2 linked regions of the Mus musculus genome follow. The protein of the gene in region 2 interacts with the protein of the main gene of each other region in a pairwise test. Links are inferred from orthologs where the notes say so. Each region holds a gene or a part of one and is shown on either strand. Other genes may lie near its edges.

Region 1 (3,213 bases), on a different chromosome or scaffold from region 2:
TTTTTCCATGAGCACAGCATTGCACAAGTTCCCTGGCACCAGGCTCCAGCCTCGAGCATTACACAGATCATACAGTCCAGTGTCTGCCTAGCTTGAGACACACACCTTGCACATCTCACCACACTGCCTATTCCGTGTCAACTGTTTTAGGGCTGGGATTCCATGAGTGACAGAGTTTCTGTAGAAGCCTAGAGAAATTTAATCTCTTAGCTTCTGAATCAAAAGGCCTTTTGAACTTATATGTTTTTAGAGCTCAAAACATCTTAACTGCTGTTTGGCCTTACCAAATACTTTTCATAAAATCAGGCATGGTGGCACAAGTTTTAATTCCAGTACCCTGGACATAGAGACAATAGGATCCGAAATTCAAAGTCACCTCAGCTAAATAGTTCAAAGCCATCCTGGGCTTCATGAGACCCTGTTTCAAAACAACAACAGCAGCAAAGTATTTTGCAAATAGATACTGACTTTTGATCATAACAAACCCATGAAAGCATTGGGGCTCACTTAACACCAAGGTTCAAAAGTAGTGAATCAGCCAAGATGTAGGAGGCTGAAACAGGACTTTGATTTTTTTTGTAACAGACCTGGAGATTCTTAAAAAAAAAATAAGAGTGTGTAGGGTGGAGTGTATGCTTATGCACAAAGCCTTGGGTCCACACACACACACACACACACACACACACACACACACTATCATGATTGGCCTCTTTCCCATTTCTGAGAGGTGAGTGAGGTGAGATCCCTAGCTATCGTCCTGGCAGTGAGACCCATTCCAGAGTGTGTGTTCCTCCTGGAAGTAGAAAGAGAGGATCCGGGACAAATCCAGACAAGTCCAGGGGTATGTAGGTGGAAATTCTCAGGAAGCCTGAAGCTGGTAGGGCTGAGGTGATGTGACTAAAAGATTCTGCCAGGAAGACCAAGTGATGTTACCACATCCATACGGGTGCTCTCAGTGGTTGGTCCAAGCTCTTGCTCCTGGCTAAACTGTCTGTCCTGTTCCTGACACCAATGTGGGTTTAAGGTAGATGCCCAGAAGCCAGACCCCCACTTGTATTTGTGATTGGGGGGGGGGGGGTCTGAGGTCTGTTGAAGTTCCACTGCCCCCCTCCCCACGGGGCTCAGGCCCTAGGCCAGGGCTCAACAGACACAAGCAGTAAGATGGGGTTGCCCTTCTATTGGTCCAAGTCCTGAGCGTAGCCTGGTTGAGTCATGGAGGTGAGCAGGCCCACGAGGCTCAGCAGTGTGGAAAAGAGCAGCAGGAAGGAGGCTGCGAAGAGCAGAGCAGGCAGGGCACTGAGCACAAGCAGCAGGATTGCTGGCAGCAGGTGGCTCCACATCACAGCCACCACGGGCCATAGCGAGCTCAGCAGGTAGGAGCCCGTGGTGAAGAGTGCGTGACATAGCATCAGTGCCAGCAGCAGGTAGAGTGTCCCCTCCAGACCCCACAGCATCCGCTGTAGTGGTTGCCGCCAGCCTGATGTATTCCACCACTGGGTCCAGCTCCGAGGTATGTGGCATACCCACCAGCGCACCCAGTCCTGACGGATGATCCAGGCTGACCAGGGCACTGCCCGCTGGGGCCCCTCGCCAGCCCCGATGATATCCGACTCCACTCGTGGCTGCTGCATCACGGCTGGTGCACCTGTGGACAGGGCCAGGCCAGCTGCAGGGGGCAGCCCTTAAGATGCCCAGGACCTCTGGATAGGTGGGCATGCAGGGGTCAGGGGGATACCAGCATGGGCAGGATTGGACTTTGAACTGGGGCCTAGGACTTACCTTTGGGCAGAGCCACCTAAGTCATGGTGCTTCCTGTTGTGTCTAGGCTGGCCTGGCAGCCAGATCCCAGTCTCTCCCTCGCCTGCCCCACCATCCCCAGAGGAGTGCATTATGACCCGGACTGGGGTGGGGCTCAGCCAAGAGAGGAGCTACTGCATAGTGTGAGAGTCACTTATGTCCTTTACTTAATGGTCCCTCCAGGCTAGCAGGAGAGCCCAGCAAGCCTACCATTCTTCTTCTTGTAGGAAGCCTTCCCCACACCTGTCCCTCCTTGATGGCTGCTTCCAACCCCATGGCTGGAGTTGGTTGCTGTAACTACCCTTTTCTCTGCCTTCTCTTAATGCCCTAAGCTTCAGGCAAAGGTAATATGCCTTTGACAGTTCTCAAATGTCCACATTGTGGAACTAGAAGGCCCTGAGGTTCAAGCTGAATATGATGGAGTATTCTGTCCTTATCACACAACCTTACCCTCATGTAGCTCAGGATGGAAGAGAAGAAATCTGAGAGAGCAGATTGGATGTTGTATTTTCAGAAGGCATTCAGCTTTAGGAGGGCCCTCAGGCCCAAGGATGGATACAGAAAGCTAGGCCCAGCATGGCTAAGGGTATACCAGAGCCTCCCAAGAACAGGCGCAGGCCCAGGAACAGCAGGAGCAGCGCATCCTGCAGGCTGAGCAGTCCCGAGGCCATCTTTGTTGGAGAGAGGGGAGCTGCTTGCTGTCCTGGGCCTTCACCAGCCCCCTGGCTCTGACCCATTGGGAGAAGTCTGTGTCGTGGCAGGTTGGCACCTGTGGGCCTGTGGAGAGAGAAGATGGCAGCTCGAGGCAATTGCTCATTTGTGTTTGTGACACCTATCTGACAGGTGGCACTTACCCATAGAGCAGGTCAAAAACAAGGAAGCTGGTCAGCAACAGGAGCAGCAGGGCTAGGCCAGCCGTTGAGAAGATGGTTCGAATTGTCACTCCTAGTGCCCCCAGCCCTAGGATACTGTCCAGGAGCTGGGCCTGGCTGAAGTCCCAGGGGGGGCACATGACTCGCTGACCCTACTCAGTCCCTCTCCAGGATCCAGACCCCTGGGAAGGAGTGGGATGGCTTTAGAAGGGCAAGGGTGAGCTGAGCTGGGTCCTAGAGGTTATTAGGAAGACCTAGTGCTAAGAGATTAGGGATCAGGGAAGAGAGGAGGGCCTTGGCAGACACTCAAGGGTTAGCTCTGTGAGTAAGGAACTAAGCTTTTTGGGGATCTCCCTCCCCCCACTCCCACCCCACATCTTCACCAACTCTCCTCACCTCCTCCCACTTGGGTGACCATTCTAGATTTGGACACTCTGGGGCATTGTGACCTATTATCAGGGAGGACCTTGAATTAAGGACAGGACAACAGTTTGCTTTGCCTCATAAGCACTGGTGGCCTAGGTGGGGCTCAGTAACAAATCAG
Region 2 (3,813 bases):
TTACACATTTAATACTATATTTATTTGCCACTAGGTGGCAGTGCATGCTCTACTTTGCCCACCTTACCAGCCGTTCCTATCACAGAGGTCACTAAGAGAACCAAAGGTGTCAAGTGCCCACACTCTCAGGTCCAAGACATGGCAGCAAAACAGCTTGTTTATTCAAAACAATCAGGCCCATGGTGACAAAGGAAGTCTCGTGTCAACTACATGCATGACTTTTAAGATTTCTGGAGGCCATTAAAAAACAGGCGAGAAGAAACATGGAGAGTGAATTCTAATGCATTTAGCCCAGCATAGTTAAAATAAAAATCAATGTAAAAATTGAAAGCACTTTCCATCTCGGGTGTGTGCACTGTCTTCAAATCCTGTGGGAAGGCACATGCATTGGACACATGGGGCAGAACAAGCCAAACTGGAAGAAGCCACAGCGACAACCAAGACATGCTGGTGGTGCCCTGGGATAGGGTGCTACTGTGGATGTCTGGTGGGGCAGGCACCAGCCCTTTAACACTCCGCCTACCCAGGCCAGTCTGGATGGCACTGGGCACTGGGAGCCAGAGTCCTAATTAAACATTAACTTCCCGCCAACTGTCTTCCTCGCCCTACCTAACACAATATCTAACTTAGCAAAAGAAAGGAGGACAGGCAGCATTCAGTCACCAAGGTCCCTGTGGAGTCCTTCCAGCTTAGAGACACGCCCACAGAAAAGGCAGACGACATCCAGCCGCACACACAGCAGTCAGAGCCCCCTACACCTACCCCCGGCCGCACAGCGCTGGGTCAAACTGTCCCTGCCTGCTTCTGGGCTCCCAGGCAAAGCACAAACTCTACCACGGGGGTGGGGAGACAGTTATTAAACAAATGCCTGAAGGAACATTCTAGAAAGGAGGCCTCTGGCTCCATCAGTAGCTGCACCAGACCTAGGAGCTGCCAAGAGAGGGGCAGGCTCCTGCAGCAGGCAGACCAGGAGGGAAGAACAAGCTCACCCTACCAGTGATCATGATCTCCCCGGTTCTATGAACCCAGAATAAACTGGCTCCCCTTCATGGGCCTGGTATAATGAGATTCTTGGAATCCCCTGCCCAGCTCAGCTTCACCTAGAACCAGGTAAACCTGGGATAACTAACTCTGGGAAGGGGAATTCCAGGCTGGGATTTTTCTGCCATCTTCAGATACCTTGCTTCTGCACCCAAGGACCTCACACAGCACTGCCTCTTCTACTGTGTGTGTTCTGTGTCTAGAAGGCTTGATCTCCACATGTCACTGAGAGGAGAGAACCACTGTTGGCAGCCTGACCTTCCTCCTGGCCTGTGACGGCACACTGCCCATACACAGAAAGTTCCTAATACTTCTCATTAAAAGTGGTTTTGCCACCAAGGAAGGGAAGTGACAGGGCACAGAACTCTCCCGCAGGCAAAGCAGAGGTCCAGCGGGCCTGTGTCCAGGCTGGGAGCCTATTCTGGGTAACTCAGGAGCCTCACCTAGCCTCCCCATTCAGGTCCCTCTGGAAGTCACCAAAGAAACAGTCACTCCACTCCCTACCAGTCACCACAGGTGGAAAGCAAAGATTTTAACCACAGGAGCCTTCATGAGCAGGCTGGGTAGCATTGAGAGTGGAACAGCAGGCTACCACTCCTGCTGGTGCTGCTCTGCATGGTGAAATCCCAGGGCTTGTTTACAACACGTGGCTGGAAAGGGCCTCTGCATAAGCAACCAGACAAGAGTACTGAGGAACCAGGCACTGTAGACCAGGCCCCACCTGTACTCAGGAGGGACCCAGGGTCTTGTGTGTGTGCTAGGCCAGATCTCCACTCCCTGAACCACATCCTCAGCCCTAAAGTCCACTGTAATTAATACACATGGCTCACTCACTCTGCTAAGAAAGTCCACATAGAGCAGACAGACAGACATGGCTAATGTCCTCTGCGTGGGTACTAACAGTGTACTTCTAGATAATACTGGCATCCAATAGCAGCCTCATCCCCCAGGCACTGCAGCCCAGGAGGAAGAGGGAGAGAAACAAAAAGAAAGAGACAAAGCTCCCTGAGGTGTCTTCTCCCCGGGGAAGACCTAACAGGTCCTCTGCTGTCTATGTAGGAAGGTAGGTGCCTACTCATAGGACAGGCAGCTCAGATGTCCCTGCACAAGACAGAGGTCTGTGCTCAGCTCCTCCTCTGAAACTGCACAGAACAGCAGCCATTCTCAGCAGGTTCCTCTCACACTCGATGAAGAATCTGCTACCACATACACAAGCACCATGACAGATGCTTCACTGCAGGCCCAGAAACTGTCAGGACCCACAGCCTGAACCTTCTGAAACTGCCTGTTGCTTCTGCCACAGGTTTTGGCAATGGTAGAGAGCAGAGAAAGTAACTGATAGAGATGGACAAACAAGAGGATATACTTTCCAGGAAAGGGAAGACAGAAGGTCCTGGGCCTCCCTAACCAACTCAACACCAGGACCATCACTGTCATAACCTACCAGAACTGTTATTTAGCTAACCACTGGTCCAAGGCCAGTATGTGAAACAAGCCAGCAAAGCTATTCTTTTGTAGTTTACATTGCCTGAACCTGGAGAACCTACAGAGCACAGATAAACCTTCATAAACTGCACCTCCAGAAACCCACATCACAGCACCCTGCAGCAAATGGCCAAGCACTCGCAACAGGACCTCGCAGACGAGCAGTGTGCACATGCACTATGTAAATGTCCTTCCAGAAGAGCACAGGTATGGTAGGGTCAAAGGCTACTTGCATAAAAGCAAGGACAAATAAAATGCCCAGGCCTGCAGCAATCAGCTTTAACTGTTGGCAGCAAAGGGCCAGAGTCTGTCAGTACCACACTAGCAGTCAGACTATAGGATCTGGTAAACAGGTTCCCCAAATGGCTGGTCCCAGACCAAAAGGCCCTCTATCTAGGGAGCCAAAGGGCCCAGTGAGGCACCTGTATTCATGACCGGTCTCCTTCCAGCAAAGACTGCCCCAAGGACTAGCCAACTAGCCCAAGCTGTAGCCCATGGCAAGATACAGCCACACACCAGGCCCAGGGATAAGCCAAGATGAGGCTGGAATCCAGTAATGAGGTCATCACCCACAGGAAAACACTCAGCAGCTACTTCATGGGCAACATGGCCATATACCACCCAGTACTGGGGCACGGCTGGATTCCCAACCATTTCCACCTTAATGTACATTGGCCACCTCCACTCGAACAGGACAAACAGGGCAGGGCAGGGCAGTAGAGGAGGGGCAGCACGGGGTACGTGACCACCTCACCTCCAAAGTTGGCCAACCGCCCAATCCGGGTAACTGGCACCTTCCGCTCCCGAGCCCGCTCACTGAGCTGAAGGGAAAAACAAGAGAGACCTATAGGACTGACAAAACTAACAAATGAGACAAGACAGCCTGAGGCTCATGCTGTCTGTGCCTCCCCTCTCCACTCCCACTGGCAGCACTGTACAAAAAGGCTTCCAGGTATTTCTAAAGTCACAGCATGGGAGGTTGGGGGGAGATGCGGACCAGCCCCAGCCCCACTAGGAATAGAAACCACCCAAGTCCAGCCAGAACGCCTCTCAGACCTACCATCTGCTTGTGTGGCTTGCTCTCAGGGCGAGCCTTGGCCTGCCGGGCCTTTTCAATGTCTTCAGCCGTGAGGCCTCCCACGGAGGACTGGTCCTGGTGGAAGGATCTTCGCTGGATGCCGTTGGCCAAGAACAAGTCTCTGTGATCTACAAAGAGCCTTCCATTGACTCTGCCCATAGGAGAGGTGGCCTGTCCAGGGAGCCCAGCTTCCCTGAAAGGCCCACTGG

The links.
Region 1: the proteins of Coq8a (region 2) and Tmem239 interact in binary tests that used the Homo sapiens proteins (3 or more experiments, as listed by UniProt). The two-hybrid records come from large-scale screens. The link is inferred for Mus musculus from reciprocal best matches to the Homo sapiens genes COQ8A and TMEM239.

The regions. Positions count from the first base shown.
Region 1 is NC_000068.7:130,405,142-130,408,354, reverse strand, and holds Tmem239 (transmembrane protein 239), read right to left. Parts: upstream 1,834-3,213; 5' UTR 1,780-1,833; intron 1,646-1,779; 5' UTR 1,632-1,645; coding exon 1,176-1,631; 3' UTR 561-1,175; downstream 1-560. Other genes in the region: 1700020A23Rik (uncharacterized protein C20orf141 homolog), read right to left, coding at 2,337-2,574, 2,652-2,809.
Region 2 is NC_000067.6:180,175,297-180,179,109, forward strand, and holds part of Coq8a (atypical kinase COQ8A, mitochondrial), read right to left. Parts: coding exon 3,587-3,813; intron 3,348-3,586; coding exon 3,281-3,347; intron 1-3,280. UniProt on the Homo sapiens protein: Atypical kinase involved in the biosynthesis of coenzyme Q, also named ubiquinone, an essential lipid-soluble electron transporter for aerobic cellular respiration.